Caenorhabditis elegans: one gene and its partners. The protein of the gene in region 1 purifies or fractionates together with the protein of each later gene. This does not show direct contact. Each region holds a gene or a part of one and is shown in the gene's direction. Other genes may lie near its edges. The genes, in order: F58H1.8, Y106G6E.4, F36G3.2 and map-1.

The links.
Region 2: the proteins of F58H1.8 (region 1) and Y106G6E.4 fractionate together in Caenorhabditis elegans (co-fractionation; one large-scale study listed by BioGRID). This does not show direct contact.
Region 3: the proteins of F58H1.8 (region 1) and F36G3.2 fractionate together in Caenorhabditis elegans (co-fractionation; one large-scale study listed by BioGRID). This does not show direct contact.
Region 4: the proteins of F58H1.8 (region 1) and map-1 fractionate together in Caenorhabditis elegans (co-fractionation; one large-scale study listed by BioGRID). This does not show direct contact.

Annotation. Positions count from the first base shown.
Region 1 is NC_003283.11:11,933,534-11,937,041, forward strand, and holds F58H1.8 (uncharacterized protein), read left to right. Parts: upstream 1-1,614; 5' UTR 1,615-1,615; coding exon 1,616-1,732; intron 1,733-1,784; coding exon 1,785-1,881; intron 1,882-2,393; coding exon 2,394-2,695; intron 2,696-2,775; coding exon 2,776-2,973; 3' UTR 2,974-2,996; downstream 2,997-3,508. Other genes in the region: F58H1.3 (Enolase-phosphatase E1), read left to right, coding at 445-522, 586-722, 775-853, 902-972, 1,029-1,161, 1,205-1,453; gpla-1 (Bursicon), read right to left, coding at 3,453-3,508.
Region 2 is NC_003279.8:10,221,132-10,224,489, reverse strand, and holds Y106G6E.4 (putative 5-formyltetrahydrofolate cyclo-ligase), read left to right. Parts: upstream 1-1,711; coding exon 1,712-1,951; intron 1,952-2,271; coding exon 2,272-2,404; intron 2,405-2,452; coding exon 2,453-2,700; 3' UTR 2,701-2,848; downstream 2,849-3,358. Other genes in the region: ced-12 (Cell death abnormality protein 12), read left to right, coding at 1-338, 385-735, 781-1,007, 1,059-1,296, 1,376-1,517. UniProt on the Caenorhabditis elegans protein: Contributes to tetrahydrofolate metabolism. Helps regulate carbon flow through the folate-dependent one-carbon metabolic network that supplies carbon for the biosynthesis of purines, thymidine and amino acids.
Region 3 is NC_003284.9:9,791,887-9,795,941, reverse strand, and holds F36G3.2 (GNAT family N-acetyltransferase), read left to right. Parts: upstream 1-1,668; 5' UTR 1,669-1,676; coding exon 1,677-1,848; intron 1,849-2,029; coding exon 2,030-2,197; intron 2,198-2,244; coding exon 2,245-2,363; intron 2,364-2,692; exon of another isoform or gene 2,693-2,696; coding exon 2,697-2,892; intron 2,893-2,946; coding exon 2,947-3,233; 3' UTR 3,234-3,536; downstream 3,537-4,055. UniProt on the Caenorhabditis elegans protein: To the C-terminal of C.elegans F21C10.9.
Region 4 is NC_003282.8:3,682,981-3,688,653, reverse strand, and holds map-1 (Methionine aminopeptidase), read left to right. Parts: upstream 1-1,788; 5' UTR 1,789-1,796; coding exon 1,797-1,904; intron 1,905-2,009; coding exon 2,010-2,093; intron 2,094-2,145; coding exon 2,146-2,551; coding exon of another isoform or gene 2,552-2,601; exon of another isoform or gene 2,602-3,034; intron 3,035-3,197; coding exon 3,198-3,332; intron 3,333-3,678; coding exon 3,679-3,822; intron 3,823-4,755; coding exon 4,756-4,868; intron 4,869-4,919; coding exon 4,920-5,045; 3' UTR 5,046-5,117; downstream 5,118-5,673. Other genes in the region: taf-6.2 (TAF6 C-terminal HEAT repeat domain-containing protein), read left to right, coding at 1-812.

The DNA of each region.
Region 1 (3,508 bases):
CATTTTCTAAATATACATAAATATGGCGAAACAATGTTCTCTGGAAATCCGTTTCTCCGGCACAGAGGTGTCTCGACACATTTTTTTCTCTCACAAAAGTATTGCACAAAAACCCTCTTAATTTCCTTTTTTTTGCATTTTTATGTGGTTTGAAACTATTAAAAATAACTAATTTAGTCAGAAAATAGGCCAAATGTCTACATCATATTTTCAAATATTAATAATCGTCAATATTGCGCTCTTATCAGTAGTTTATCGTCTATCTTTGCAAAGTTCCTTGCACTGTCTTTTATTCACAATCAATATTCATCTATTTTAATGTCATCTCTTTTCTGGTTTCAAAAATCATGACAAAAACGAAAACAACCATTTTTCTTCATCACTTTCACTACTAATTTAGTTCAAAATAGCCCAATTCTTGAAAATTCCAGCCGCATTCCAGTCATGACAACCACTACTATTCAATTCAACGCGCTGCTCCTAGATATTGAGGGTACAATAACCAGTATCTCCTTTGTTAAGGTTATTTTTTCTTCTATTCTATTTCTTCCATTTGATTATCAATTAAAGTTTTTATTTTTACAGGATGAGCTTTTTCCATACGCGTTCGAGAACGTTGGAAATTATTTGGAGGAGCACTACGACAATCCAGCAACTCAAATAATTGTTGAAGATTTGAGGCACATTGCAGACCAACAAGCGGAAAATGATGTGGCAGTTGTGTTAGTATTTAATTTGCACAGCTTGTTTTTATCGAATTTATGTACTTTACAGGCGGATCCGCGAACCAAGAAAGGAATGCATTGAGGATGTAACAAAAAATGTCAGACACTGGATAAAAAGAGACAAAAAAGTTTATAGAGTATTTGAGAAAAGGTGTTTAAAATTCAATATTTTCCAGCTGACACCAATGAAAGCTCTCCAGGGGCTCATTTGGGAAGAGGCTTACCAGCGCGGAGATGTGAAAGGACAGTAAGTAAAATCGACAATAAATAAGTAACACGTATTGTATAATTTTACAATTTCAGTGTATATCCGGACGTTTTACCAGTTTTGAAAATTGTTGAAAATAGAAAAATCCCGATCTACATCTACTCATCGGGATCGGTCCACGCTCAAAAGCTCTTGTTTGCCAATTCAATTGAAGGAGATATGACCAAAGTATAATATTCTTTCCACAATCCATTTTAATGTTTTCTTTCAGATTCTCTATGGCTACTTTGACACAAATATCGGTCTGAAGGGAGAAAGCAATTCATACACGAAAATCAGCGAGCGAATTAAAATTCCTCCCAGTGAAATACTATTCCTGACTGATGTTGAAGCAGAAGCGGCTGCTGCCAAGAAAGCTGGGTTACAGACAAAGTTAGTAGTTCGTCCTGGAAATGCGGGTCTAACACAAGAAGCTATAAACGCCTACGGAACCATTGAAAGTTTGGAAGAAATTTTGTAATTCTTTGTATTCATTGTATTCTTTCCTGAAACATTGTTTGGAGATCTTTAATAAAGCCTTCGGTGTAAAAATTGGTTTTCTAGCTTATTTCGAGTTTTCATTGGTCTCATAAATATATTTACAGCTTTTTTGAATATTCAAAACTCCGAATTTGAATTCAGAATGATAATACGGTGTTTTCAAAATTTAAATCAAAGTTCATTGCATCTATATCGAGGAATTTGTACTTCTCGTCCGTCTTCAAGCGTTTTCGATAAAATTAAAAATTTTCTACTGGCTGTAAGTTGAAAATATTGAAAAAAACTTTGAATAAAGATTAAAAAAATTGCAGGAAGAGCGAGAAAATTTCGATAGAGACAATATTCGAAAAGCCCACCAAAAAGACAACGTCGACGAAAAGGAATGGGCATTGATTTATAGAGATGTTGGTAAGATTTATGTTTTCAAAATGTAAAAAAAAGGTTATTCGACAGATTCAAAAAAATTTATTATCGAAAATAGTTTTTTGCTAAAGTGGACATTTCACTAATTACTAACAATGCATGTTCTCAAAACTCACTGTTCTACAAATATTCGGATTTTCCTATTCTCGATGAAATCCGGATTTTTTTTTCGAAAACAGAAAGTGAAACAATTTTTTTAACACGAAAAAAAAAACGATTTTTTGCTTAAAAACATTATCAGAAAAAGTTTAAAACTTTGCCCAAAATTGCATGTTTTTCCAAAATAATTTTGAAATTAGAATTAAAAAATTTATGAATGTTTCTGTTTATCAGAATTTTTGCTCACTTCTTTTTCGAAAAAAGAGAAAACTAACATTTTCGCCATAATCATGCAAAAAATAAATATTTACAACCCTGAAGATGTCAAATAAATATATAATATTTATGTCTGAATTCAAAAAATTACACTTTTTTTCTTGATTGTTCTTATTCTTCAGGAGCATCGAGAACATTTTACATGACTGCTGCTTTTGTTCCATCCTTCATCGTTGGCTCTTCAATTTTTGCTTTCGATGTCAATTCAAACAGTCCTGGAAATCGATTCGATTTTGTGCAGAAGCTAGTGACGGATTCAGAAGAACTTGGAGTTCTCATTGCACTTCCATCAGTTGCATTAGCAGTTGTATTTGCCTGTTTAATCCGTGTTCAGCAGTTACGACTAATTAGGATATACCAGAATAAAAATGACGCGGAGCAGTTTATGGCTATACGGTCGAAATTCATTGTTAAGCAGCACAAAGTGAGTTTTTAAAAATTAACTTTCGTTCTTAAAAAAAAAAACTATCTTGAACAAGATTAAACATTATTAAAAAATTCCAGGAGCTGTTCCGACGAGATGAAACAACTGGTTTCTACTTCGCAGATGATCAAACTGACGGTGTCCGAGTTGCAATGCATTTCTTGTTGGGAAATATTCAGATTGGAAGTCGAAAATCCATGATCATAGATGATATGTTTAGAGCAAACAATTATAGATCTTATATGCTAAACGAAACGAGTGTTCCTCCAAGGTTATAGGAAAAATAAAAGTTTATTAGGTTCTTTTTCATTTAATTAAAAATATTCCAAAAAAAGGACAAAGTACAAAGGTACAGTACATGAATAATGCACAATTCAAACTCATTTTCTGTTGGCTAGAGGTATCATTCAATCAACATTGTCAATTGTTTATTTCAATAAAGAACATTTTGTTTTTTGTTTGGCAGACAAGAAAATAGAATGAGAGAATGTGAGACGCAGAGAGATCAACTTGGTAATTTTGGTTTTTGTTCGGTTTCATTTGAGACAATTTATGTCAGTCATCCTTCTTTCGCTTTGATTTTTTGCATTTTTAGATGCCCGTATCAACGAGATTATTATAGAAATAATTAAGGGAACGAGATTTTATGGAAATGTGGATGAATGTGGCACTGGAGGAGAGAAAATAAATTAAATCTATTATGCAGGTAAAACTCAAGAGATTCAAGAATGAGAAATGAAAGAGATGGAAACTGCAACTATCGAACAAGACAATCAAAACATTCACATTGTGTTGCAGATGGTATTCGAAGAT
Region 2 (3,358 bases), on another chromosome or scaffold:
CACAGTTCTCTTCTACGTGGTGGTGGTGGTGTTCGAAATCTGAATGCTATTGAACAACTTGTTGAGGTTCAAAGGAGTCTGATTAGTGCATATGAAACTTCACCTCCTACTGATGCTGAAGTTCAGAAAATTCTTGATATTGAATCCAGTGAGGATGTTTCCGAGGAGATCAGAGAAATGTGGAAATCACAAATTGGGGAACACCGATGTGGACGGTTGGCTGCAATTTCGATGGTTCAATTTGCAGAAAAAAGTCCGCAAGATCTGAGAATGCTAATTTCGGAGAATACAATGAGGATTGAAGGAGGAAAATGGCAACTGATTCCAATGTGGATGAGGTTTTTTTGCAAACGTAAAGATGTTCTGATGATTTTTTAAATTCAGGTGCTGTGACATTGCCGCAGAATTGTTCAGAGTAATACCTGGTCGTGATGAGTTGGATCGTTTGATTGTAGTTCTCTTTTCCACGGAGACTCCATTTCCAGCTGTATTCGCATGTATTGTACACCTTTTCCATCGAACATGGCGTGAGATGCAGGCAAAAGGAGGTGAAATGGAGAAAGTTGCGTGTGTTGTACTGGAACAGTTACGGCATGTGCTGAAAAGACGGGAAATACAAGATGTAGAAGAACTATCTGCGGATTTGGAGACTTTTTCGTATAGGGCAATGCAAGAAATTTGGAGAGAGGAACAATTGGGAAAGGAAAATATTCAATTACATAGTGAAGCTGTGATGTAAGTCTGAAAATTCCAATAACTTATTCGTATACATATTTTCAGACAACTAAAATCGAAATTGCGGCCAAAAATGGAGGAATTGGTTCGAATAAATCATCTAAACTATTTGAAGTTAGGCGCCGTTTTTCGAAAACCACAGAAAAGTAAATCCCTCGCAAAGCTCGCCTTCTGGCATTGGAAGCTCGATGCATCGGAGAAAATGCTCACTATAACTGGATGTGATGGTGAGAACTATGTGGAAGGTGTGCAGAGAGATGATATTCGGCAAGGTTGGGGGAATATTGAATTAGTTCTCAAATAATAAATTAATTTATTTTCAGTTTGGATCAAAGATATTGCTGATGTAACAAATAATGATGAGATTGATAGAAAAGCAAGCTCATCTCGATTCACTTCTTCTCCATCTACACAAATGTTAAGAGGGATTCGTGTACAATTAAAAACAACAAATGATATGAAAGAAGGCGAAGTTTTAATGGCATTGACATCCGATGAAACTCAATCTGTTATATGGCTTGAAGGTCTTGCTGAATTGATTGGGAGCAAGGCAGTTAAAAGGTATCTAGACATTGGTTACTGTAGTTACAGTAACCTGAAGAATAGGAAGCCCCGAAAATACCAATTGAAATATTTTCAGTGAAACCGATGCAATGGTTGAACGAATGCTGAAAATGGAGCTACGAGTTCGCCTTCTCAATGTGAAACTCACGAACCCCGAGGAGAAACCAGAAATTCCACCGATCCCTGACGATATCAAAAGCTTTATTTCAAAGTTTTAATCATATTCAAGCTTTATCATTCTTACGTGCATTTTACCATATTGAAAGGCAAAACATTTCCATGTGCATAATAAATTTTGTAATTTATGCCTATTACTGTGTATTTAACTTAATTTGAATAACGAGCCATTAACTACAGGCCACTAACAGTTTTCTGAATCTCTTGAAAACAAATTTTTGACCAACATTTTCAGATGAGTGCTATAAAAGAGGTAAAATCAGAGCTCAGGCAGTTTATGAAGACATTGCTCGGAAAAATTTCGAAAGAAGAAACTCAACGTCAAACAGAGGCGGTTTTTGAAAAAATAATTGAATCGAAATGGTTTCAAGAGAGCAAGAGATTGTCAGTTTATGTTAGTACATCGGGAGAAATACAAACTGATTCGATTATTCAAAAAGCGTTGGAAATGGGAAAAGAAGTTTTCATTCCACAGGTAAAATTTATTTTGAAACAGATGCGCAATAGATGTTAAGATGTAGGCATGTAGGTAGGCACATAGGCAGGCAGAAATAAAGCAGGTAGGCCGACAAGAAGTAGGCAGATATGAGCTATGAATAAAGGCAGGCAGGCACGTAGCCAGGCAGAACTAAGGCACTTGCGAGGTAGGCGTAAAGTAGGCCCCTAGACATGAAGGCTGTAATCGTTTGTAGTAGGCAGGCAATTAGTACCTAGGCAGATATTATATATGAATCCAGGGAGACAGGCACGTACAGCAAGTATAATTTATTGAAGTCACAAATGTAAAAATTTCAGTTCACGAAGGGCTCAACTGCAATGGATATGGTTCGAGTTCCGGATCAAACTGCTTTTGACAATCTTCCTTCAACACTTTGGGGAATCAGACAGCCAGAACCGAAATGGAAATGGCAAAGCTATCATGAAACAGGTGTGACTGCTTTTTAATAATATAACTCCAATTTATAAGTACTTACAGGACCACTGGATTTGATCCTTGCACCCGGCGTTGCCTTCTCACCATATGGACTTCGTTGTGGTCATGGAAAAGGATATTACGATCGCTTCTTCTCCACTCATCACAAACATTTTCCAGAAAACTCCCCAAAAAAGATAGGATTGGCTCTTCGTGAGCAAATTATTGGTACAATTCCTATTTCTGAAACTGATGTTGAACTTGATGAGGTTATCTATGAAGGAGAAACTATTATTTTTGATACTATTTAAGGCTTCACACTCTAAATAATATTCCCGATTGTGATATTGAGATTTTTTTTTAAATTTCTCTCGCCAATTTATAAGTGATTTTTCAGACATTCCTCAAATGGTTTTGTGATACAATTTCTTGCATTTGTTAACTGAATAAACTTTTTTGAACTACAGTTATATATAATTTTTTCATAGATTATTCAGTCATTAGTTAGAAGCATTCTAGCCTTCCGAGGTGTTTCAATTTTAGGTCCCACCACGAAAACTTGTGGAGATGTTCTGAAATGCCCCATAGAACTGCATAGCATTGTCCCAAAAGCCTGTAAATATATCTGAAAACTTGCTCACACAAAACGAAAGGATTCAAAGGCCTGAAGACATTAATTAGCAAAAATTAGATACATTCAATGGTTTCACTAATATCACACAGTTCAGATAGACCGAGATGAGGACTGATGTAGTTAAATCGATATATGATAGAAGCCCTGTAATTTACATGAAGAGCAACTACACGAAACTGAACAAAAATATTCATTTAAAGTCAATACATAGTAATCATTGTTCACTCTCAAACTTGTTGAACACGAGGTCAATTTTGGTCTCCCGATCCGCACTGCAAATATTATTATTTCAAAAAGGTTATCATGATCAACATACCTTTGCTTTTTCTCCCTTG
Region 3 (4,055 bases), on another chromosome or scaffold:
CCCGCTTGGAAAAATACGGCGAAGTAACTTGATATTCTCACAAGGTACCTTTTGTTTTGGTCGGACACTCTGAAAATTTAGTTGTCTTCACTTTCATTTGCACCTCGCAAGTGCAGGAAACCAAATTGGTCAAAAGTTTTTTTGCACTTTGGTCAATCACTCTACGCTATTTTCTTATCAGTTATCTCAATCTTTGCGTTAGTATAACATTTTTTATCAGTGTAGGTTCTGTCTTTTTAACATTTTTAATTTGAGTTCAGGTTCCAACAAATTTAGAATTTCATTTTTGTATATTCCTATTATTATTTTGCCAGGTCTAAGCGTTTGAAAATAGCAAGGCTTGTTATAGGAAGTGTAACGGTTTTGTTTGTTTCTTAATAGTCACAAAATAACTTTAGAGGAGAGCATTTCATAGACTTCAGAGACTTCTCAAAAAAGTCTCGAAAATTGTTATGCTTATCAAAATTTGAAAGATTAATAGCTTCATTTAGCTAAACTCACCACTTTTCAACAATTAGCATGTGTCACAGTACTCTAATCCAGAAGCTCAAAAACAGTATCAGTTGATTTTTTAAAAATTTTAATCAAGTGTATAATGTTCCTTTTTTCATTAATATGTTGAATTCTGTTTTTCTCTCTTTTTAATGTTATACAGAAAATTGGGTAAAGTGTCTTCCAGGTTCGTTCCTTGCAAAATAATTTTCCTATTCGTTCCAAACTATTTTCGAAGACATTTAACAACAGGCGAGTGTGGTTGGGTGAGCAATAAAAACGGCTGCCTATGTATTGGCGGCACTTTTCTTTTTTGCTCTTTTCCTTCCAATGACGACGAGCAGTTTGCACTTTTCACTGCGTCTCGTTCAGTTGTTCTGGCCACTCTTTTCTGATTAATCTATTTCATTTTTTCTTCAAAAAAGATATATCGGCGTGAAGCTTTTTACCAGATTGTGAAAAGTCGTGTGTTTCGCACAAAGATTGAACGCTTGAGACATGTGCGAAATTTTTGGCCAAGACTGAGTTTTAGAATACTTTGTTCTTTGCTCCAGTGGCAAACATTTACTACTTTCTTAAAATCAGACCAACTCTTTTCAAAAAAGCGTTGCATGAATTCTATTAAGCTGAAAAATCAACACATTTTAAAGGGAATTTTAAGAGAGTATTTTTAATTTGAAAGATTTCATAAAATAATTTAAAGTGATTTGAATTGTTTTGACTTGATAATGTAGTTTAACATTATTACAATTGACTTTTTAAAAAGCTAAATATATTTGATTACTGATTTTCACGTGGTGTCAGAGTGTCCCATTTCGGTTTGATCTACGTAGATCTACAAAAAATGCAGGAGAAGTGACGCATAGTTCTCAACTGATTTCGCATGGTTAAGAACGTGCTGACGTCACATTTTTTGGGCAAAGAATTCCCGCATTTTTTGTAGATCAAACTGTAATGGGACAGCCTGGCACCACGTGATTTTTTTGTTCAAGATAATTTTGTGCAGAATAGGATTTTGGGAAACATTTCTGCTGTGATTATGTTTTTGAAATAGGTTCAATTTTGCAGAATTTATAATAACTCATTCATTAAAATATCAAACAGTAAACGTGTTCATTATTTTTGAAATTTTTCCTCCACTCATCAATTTTCAAATTAAAAAACACAAGTTTTTAGATATCAAAATGAGCGAAGTATCGTACGACATTCTTGAGAATCCAGAGCCAAATAGCCATTTATGGAAACAATGGAAAAATCTTGTGGATACCGAAGGATGGACTTCTGATGACAACTCGGTGACCGCATTAACACCATCAATGCCGTCAACACGAAGTGTTTGGGCAGTCTCTAAAACTGGTGAGTATTGTTTTAAAACTAATGCCATGTACGCATGAAAATACGACGTTTTGAAAGTACATCGAATAAAATTTTAGTAATTTTTAAATGTAAAATAATAGCTGTTGCAGTTCCAGCTTTTAGAAAAATTTATACATATTGAATTCAATTTTCCGAATTGTTCTAAAACATATATTTGCAGCTGAAAATGACTTTGTTGGATGCGTTATTTGGAATGAGTATAACAAAATATGTTTCCTCGGGTTTTTCCTGTTGGCTCCTGAGTATCGTGGGAAAGGCGTAGGATCAGTTATTTGGGATATCGCAATGTCTCGAATGCCTGCCGATCACACACTGGGACTACGAGGAGGTAAAAATTTTCGATTGAAAACTATTTTTCAAACATAATCATTACAGTACCCAGCATGGTTGACAAGTACAGAAAGAAAGCAACGCCGTTTGTCGGAGCAACGCTCGAAAACTACAAAATGAAGGTGGCCGAATATCACGCGTCTATGGAAAAAATGACAGGAGACGTAAGATTCCTCTTTAAAGCATAAAAGTGACTTTGGATAGCGTAGTTTTTTTAGGTTGCTCAATTTAAGTTCAATACTACCCAAGTTTACCGACAAAGAAAGAACTTTTGTGTAGAACCTTAATTAAGTGCGCATTATTATAATCAAAATCACATTACTATACGTAAAATTTATATCGATTTTTAAAAGATTATAGTGAAATAAGAAAATAAGACTGCCAAAATGTGTTGCATTTTGTCAAAAACTATGTACAATTGTTATCAGAGTTAGGTCCAACATAACACATTTTCAGTATGTTCTCAAATTTTAATATTAATCTGATGATTTGTTCAGAACTTCAAACTCGTTAGTCATTTGACGCCTGTCGAATTTGACCAACTGGTGCGATACGATAGTGATGTCAACGGTAGAAACCGCCGAGAATTCCTGGAACTCTATTATAAGCTGGACTGTGTGCTCGGAGTCGTGCTCTTTGACCAGCATCATAAAATCATTGCTCATATTTCTGCTGTCCGCACTTCGCACAAAGGTTGTCCCAAATTGTAATTTTCGGGAAAAAACATATTCATCTTTGTTTTTTCAGAAGACAACGTATTCAAGATTGCGCCATTGTATGCTGATTCTCCAAGCATTGCCATGTCAGCACTTCGCGTGTTCTCTGGAGTGATGTTCGAATTGCATCCGGAAGCGGACGTCTTGTTCCACTTACTCGATGTTGGAAGTGGAGCATTCCTTCAATCATTTTTCCAAAGTCTTGAGATCATTCCTGCAGTTAGTGGAGTTACTCTTTTCAGTAACGAATGGCCGAACAAGGGCGATTTGTCAAAGGTTTTTATTGCGCATAACAATTCTTGTCATTTTGATTATTAATGACTGTTTCTGTTTTGAATTTCATGTTGTAGTAATATTTATTGGTTCTATGCAATTAATTTTCTGAAAACTTCTTTTAATGTAATAGCTAAAAGGTTGTGTTGAATGTTAACTTTTCATCTAAATTATGCTATTAATGTCAAATGTTTTAAAATTTTAAATTGTTCCATTTTTGCTTCTTTTATCATTTTAATGGTTAGTGTATTCTGGTTAGTGTTTATTATTATCATTATACAGCACAATGCTGAACCGAATTGGCTTGCTTGAGACATTTTTATTTTCTCAATAAATCAGAAGAACAAACATTTTTTGCCGCCGCCTCTGCCCGCAACCATATGGTTTGTTAAAGCAGTTTGGGTGGGAAAAATGATCACTTGGAAGTGGGAACAATACGTCATTTTGTTGAAAAAAAACCGCATTTGTTAGTTCTGTGGTTCTATTGTAGATTTTTTTATTATAGTCTGAAAAAACAGAATCGAAGTATTTTCAATAAGCTCTGCGTGCAAACAAGTAGCATTAAATTTTACTTCTTATTTTTGTTTACACTGGAAAAATAACGAACAGATTCTGTTTGTTTTGCGTTTCATAAAACTGACTCACTGAAAATTATTACGGTTTTTTAAAGTTTTATAAGTTTTTTTGACATAACGTTATTAGAACATTTGTTCGGTTTTAAAATGATTATCTCGACAGCGTAAATTTATAAAAATTTTCAAAATTTTGCTTGAAAATAACATTTGAGAATTAAACAACTGATGTTTTTCATTTTGATTAATAAAACAAATACGTCATTCTTCTTAATGAAGGAATAGTTGACCTTGC
Region 4 (5,673 bases), on another chromosome or scaffold:
CCGAGATGGTCGATCAATATACTGGACATCTAAAAATCACCCGTCCCTCACTGCTCCTAAAACAAGAAGCCTATCTGGAAGAGCTGGAACGTCGGAGAAGGATCAGAAGATCCACCACCACCACCACCACCACCAGCTCCCACCACCATCAGCATCAGCAGCAGCAGCTCCACAACCATCCAATGATCGATGAGGCGATGCTAGACAATCTTCTCGACGATTCAAACCGCCCGTGGTCGAAGCCAGCAGCCCAGCTCGACGAGCAGCAGCTCGAGCCTCATCTTGACCGTGAAAAGGAGACGTTTTTCAGGAAGCCCAAACTATTTCTGGCTCGGAAGGAGAAATCCAAAGATGGGAAGCTTGTCGCCTCGTTTTTACGGCCTCTGGAGTTTGGCTACATGCCCGGGCTGCCATCGACGAAGACTGGTGGTCGAGGAATCCCAGGCCACGGCCCCGCAGGGGCCCGCGAGACACTCACCCGGGAATCTATCCTAGGAAATTCACTGTATGCATCTCGAGCTTCAGCCGAAAATCACCCGCTGAAATCAGTTGTCAAGGACTCGGATGAGCTTCTTCGTCGATTTGTGAGTCGCCAGGACCCGCAGGCCGGAGCCATTATCTATGGCCGGAGCATGATGATGACGTCATCAGGCCGGGCCACACTGGACTCGGAGATTGCTCGGGCGGCTCAGCAGCTATCGGCTGTGAGGCTCAGGAACTCGGTGGGCACCAGTAGAGCCGCTGGGAAGAAGGATGAAATGAGCAGAGGGCGATTTTTGACGACAGCTCCACGGCAGCAGATTGGAACATGATTTTTATTGATTTTTATTGATTTTTTGTGTTTTTTCTTGTTTTTTTTACTGAAAATTTGTCAAATTTGAAGCTTTTTTGAGAAAAAACCGCTTAAAAACTGGTTTTTTGGCAGAAAATTTGGCAATTCAAGCCGAAAATTGACCAATTTAGTGATTTTATTACTGGAAATTTAAAAAATTTGGAGTTTTTTTGAAAAAAAAAATCGCTGAAAAACTCGGAACTTTCAAAATTGAGCAAGCACAGAAAAGAAAACCTATTTTTTGCTGGAAATTTTTGAAAAAATTTGCAATTTTCAAGTTTTGAGCTCTGAAAATGTGAAAAATTCTGGAAAAGTGCCAATTTTCAGTTTTTTTCCCAATTTTTTGTTCAAATTTTCAGTTTATCTGTGATCCTTTCTCCCAAAGATCTCCCATTTTCATCGATTTCCCTCTCTTTTTAAATATTTTTTTTGCTCCGAACCTTGAAACTCCTCCTAACAAATGCTTTTTTTATTATTAAATTAGGTATAACTGTGATTAAATTTTTAAAATTATTTTTTCCATTGTTTTTGTTTTGTTATTAAGCTGGGCTTTTTAGGCCTTATCTGTTGGATTTTTCAGGAAAAAATATTAAAGTTATCCGATTTTTCAGATTTTTTTTTGGGAAAAAATTAAAATTTTCGGATTTTTTTTGAAAAAAATTCTTTAAAATAATCAGAAAAAGTTAGAAAAAAACACTAATTTTTTTTCAATTTTTTCCAATAAATCCGAAAAAAATCTGAATTTTTTGCTATTTTTTTACAGATTTTTTCCTAAAAAAAAGTTTCGAAATTTCCTAATAATTATTTTTTTCGAAAAAAATCTCAAAATTTGTGGATTTTTCATATTTATTTTCGAATTTTCAATGTTTTGAAAGCTATTTTCTTCAAATTTTCAACTTTTAACAAAAAAAAACATGATTTTTTCATAATTTCCACTACAAAAAAAGTATTTTCAGCCCGAAAAATGGACGATTTGGAAGGCAAAAAGTGCATTGGATGCCAGAAACCGGCAAAACTACGATGCCCGACATGCATTAAAATGTCACTGCCCGACGCGTATTTCTGTGATCAGGTATACATAGCTGAGATTTGTCAAAAACTACCCATTTTATCAATGGAGCTCGATTGCATCTTCCAAAATATTCAATTTTTCATTCCAAAAAAAAAACCATTTCAGTCCTGCTTCAAAGCATTCTGGCCGATTCACAAATTCTCGCACTCGGACGTCAACGGGCCGTACAATCCGTGGCCGTGCTACTCGGTAAGCGCTGAAAATTTCAGATTTCCCCAGCCTAAATCGGCCTATTTTCCAGTTCACAGGCTCGCTTCGCCCAGGCCGAGTCACCGATCGTCGCCCGGTTCCCGATCACATCCCCCGCCCGGATTACGCCCTTCACCCGCAAGGCGTCTCTCTGGAGGAACGTCAATCGAAAAGTGAACGTGTGATTAAAGTATTGACCGACGAGGAGAAGGAGGGCCTGAAAGTGGCCTGTAAACTAGGCCGTGAATGCCTGAATGAGGCCGCCAAGGCCTGCGGGCCTGGAGTTACTACTGAGGAAATCGATCGAGTTGTGCATGAGGCGGCAATTGAACGAGATTGTTATCCGAGCCCGTTGGGATATTATAAGTTCCCGAAGAGTTGTTGTACTTCTGTTAATGAGGTCATTTGTCATGGAATTCCGGATATGAGAAAGTTGGAGAATGGAGATCTTTGCAATGGTAATGAGGATTATCGATTTTGCAGAAAAAATATCGATTTCCTGGAATAATGTTGATTTTGACAATTTTGGCATACGCATTTTTCCTAAAATTTGCCGTTTTTTTTTTGTTGAAAAAATAACGATTTTTGGAAGAAAAATCGATATTGACTTTTGACGATTTTTTTTTTCGTCAAAAAGCTACTGATTTCTAAAAAATAACATAACTTGATTTTCCAGAAAATTTATTTTATTTATCTAGTAATTATTGATTTTTGTTGGAAAATGTTCGATTATTGTAAGGAAATATTGCATTTTGATTTTTTTTTTTTAATTTCTCGATTATTTTGAAAACTATTGTAATCGTCAAAAAATTATCGATTTTTCTCGGAAATTTCTCGGAATTTATCGGCGAATTTTTTGACGTGAAAATAATCGACTTTTGTGTAAAAAATGTTTTTTTTTAAATATAAATTGTAAATTTTCATATAAATAAAACAATTATCTTTATGAAAATCTTTAAACAATTGGAAAAAGCTTCAATTTTTGAGCCAGAATTGCGGAAAATTCGAATTTCGCAGTCATTTTTTTTTCAAAAATTCAAAAAGTTTGATTTTAATGAAAAAATCGATAAACACAATTTCTTGTTCATTTTTTTCAATTTTCAGTCGACGTCACCGTCTATCACCGCGGTTTCCATGGAGATCTCAACGAAACCTTCTTGGTCGGTGATAAAGTCGACGAGGAGTCCAGGAAACTTGTCAAAGTTACATTTGAGTGTCTTCAACAGGCTATCGCTATTGGTATCGCAAAAAAAGCTACATATGCAATCGCGCTCTAACGCTAAATTTGACCTTTTTAAAGTTTTTGGCGGTAAAATTCGAAAATTCGACCGTTTTCAATCAATTTTTCGTAATTTTGAATATTTTTTTTCGCGGGAATTTTTAAAAATTTCACTGAAATCGCACTGTTTTTAAAAATTATCATCATTTTCATATTAAAAATCGATAAAAACAACAAAAAAAATTTACAAAACGTATGAAAACTGTCTGAAAACGGCCGGATTTACGACTATTTCTGAAAAATAACGGTTTTGGCATTGGAGCGCGCTTGCACTTTGATTTTCAAATTTTTATTGATTTTTTTCAGTGAAGCCAGGCGTCAAATTCCGTGAAATTGGAAATGTGATTCAAAAACACGCCAATGCAAATGGATTCTCAGTTGTTAAGGGTTACTGTGGACATGGTATTCATCGCTTATTCCATACTGCACCAAATGTTCCGCATTATGCTAGTGAGTATGGAAAATATTTAAATCGAAAAAATCGATAATTTTGAAAAAAAAAATTATTTGAAATTTTTCTAAAAAATCATCGACAAAAAACCTTTTTAAAAAGTATTTTATTTTTCCAATCAAATTTTTTAAAAAAGTTTGAGAAAAAATATTCAAAAAACTTGTAAAAAATCAATAATTTTTGAAAAAAAATTTAAATGTTTTTTTTTAAATTTAAAATTTAAAATTCAACAAAAAACACTTTTTTTCCAATAACAATAAAAAAAATACATTTTGGAAAAGAAATCAAAAAAATTGTAAAAAATAGGTAATTTTTGAAAACAATTTTGTTTACATTAGATTTTTTTTCAAAAAATTTAAAAATAAATATTTGAATTCAACAAAAGAAAATGTTTCCAAAATTTTTTTTTTTTGGAAAAAAAGTTTAAATTCAATTTTAAAAAAAACCTAATTTTTTTCCAATAAAAACTTTTGAAAAAAGTGAAGTAAAAAGTTTTATCAATTTCTGTAAAAAAATTGGAAAAATTTATATTTTTTCCGGAAATCTTTAAAAAAATGACTGTAAAAATATGAAAAGAAATTTAAATTTAAAAACTTAAAATAATTAAAAATTTGATGTTAAGAAAAAAACTTGAAAAAACAAATTTTTTTTTACAGATTTTAAATTTAAAAAGTACGGAAATTCTTGAAAATTTAAAAAAAAAACGAGTTTATTAGAAAAATAATTTTTTTTGTAATTTAAAATTTTTGCTAAAAATCAATTCAAATTTATACTGAAAACGTTTTTTTAAAATTAAAACTCTCTTCAACATTGACTACTTTTTAGATCCAGAAATGTAAGAAAAAAGGGTTTTTATCCCTGCGGACCTTTGAACTACAGTATTTTCGTAGTGAAACCCGAAAATATCAAAAAATTCCCCGCTTTTTTTCCAGAAAACAACGCGACGGGCGTTATGAAGGCAGGCAACTCGTTCACCATCGAGCCGATGATCAACGCCGGCACCTACCACGACGACAAATGGCCTGACGATTGGACCGCCGTTACCGTATGTGCCTGCTGATTTGGCGGACATTCAAAAAATTTGTTAAATTTTCAGAGAGATGGCCGCCGCTCTGCCCAATTCGAACAGACACTTTTGGTTACTGACACTGGCTGCGAGATTCTGACAAAGAGAGACGGAAACCGCCCGTGGTTTATGGATCAGATTGAGCAGAGTTATTGATTTATTAATTTTTTATACTTTTTTTTTTTGAATTGTTTGGCCTTTTTTACTTGAATAAATCGTTTTTCCTTGATTTTATTACCCAGACGCAAAATGTTGCGATTTTTGTGCAAAAAATACTGTTTCCGGTCTCGATACGACAAATGCGAATAGGTGTGCGCCTTTGAAGAATACGGTGGTTTTTCTCGCGCCTTGTTAACATTGATGTGGATTCAATTGTCAATTCTCTGTAAATTCTGTAAATTCTCACTAATTCTTATTAATGACCAAATATAACAACAGAAGACAGAATTTAAAAAAATTTCAAAACCGCCACGTTCAAGCAGAAATAGTGAATTTTCGGTCATACCTTCTAGACCACAATTTATATGCAAAATTAATAGATTTTTCAAACTTTGAAAATTAATTTCTGGCTTCAATCTAACTTTTTTAAAAAATTCCCGTAGCCATTTTGTAGCAAATTTTATGTTCTTTCAGAATTTGAAAACAGAACTGTAAAAAAATCCGAAACCGCCAAGTTCAAGCAGAAAAAGTGAATTTTCAGTCATACCTTGTAGACCGTTTTTTTTGGGAAAAAAATTCTCGTTACCCTTCTTCAGCATGTCATTTTTGGTGACTCTAACAAGGT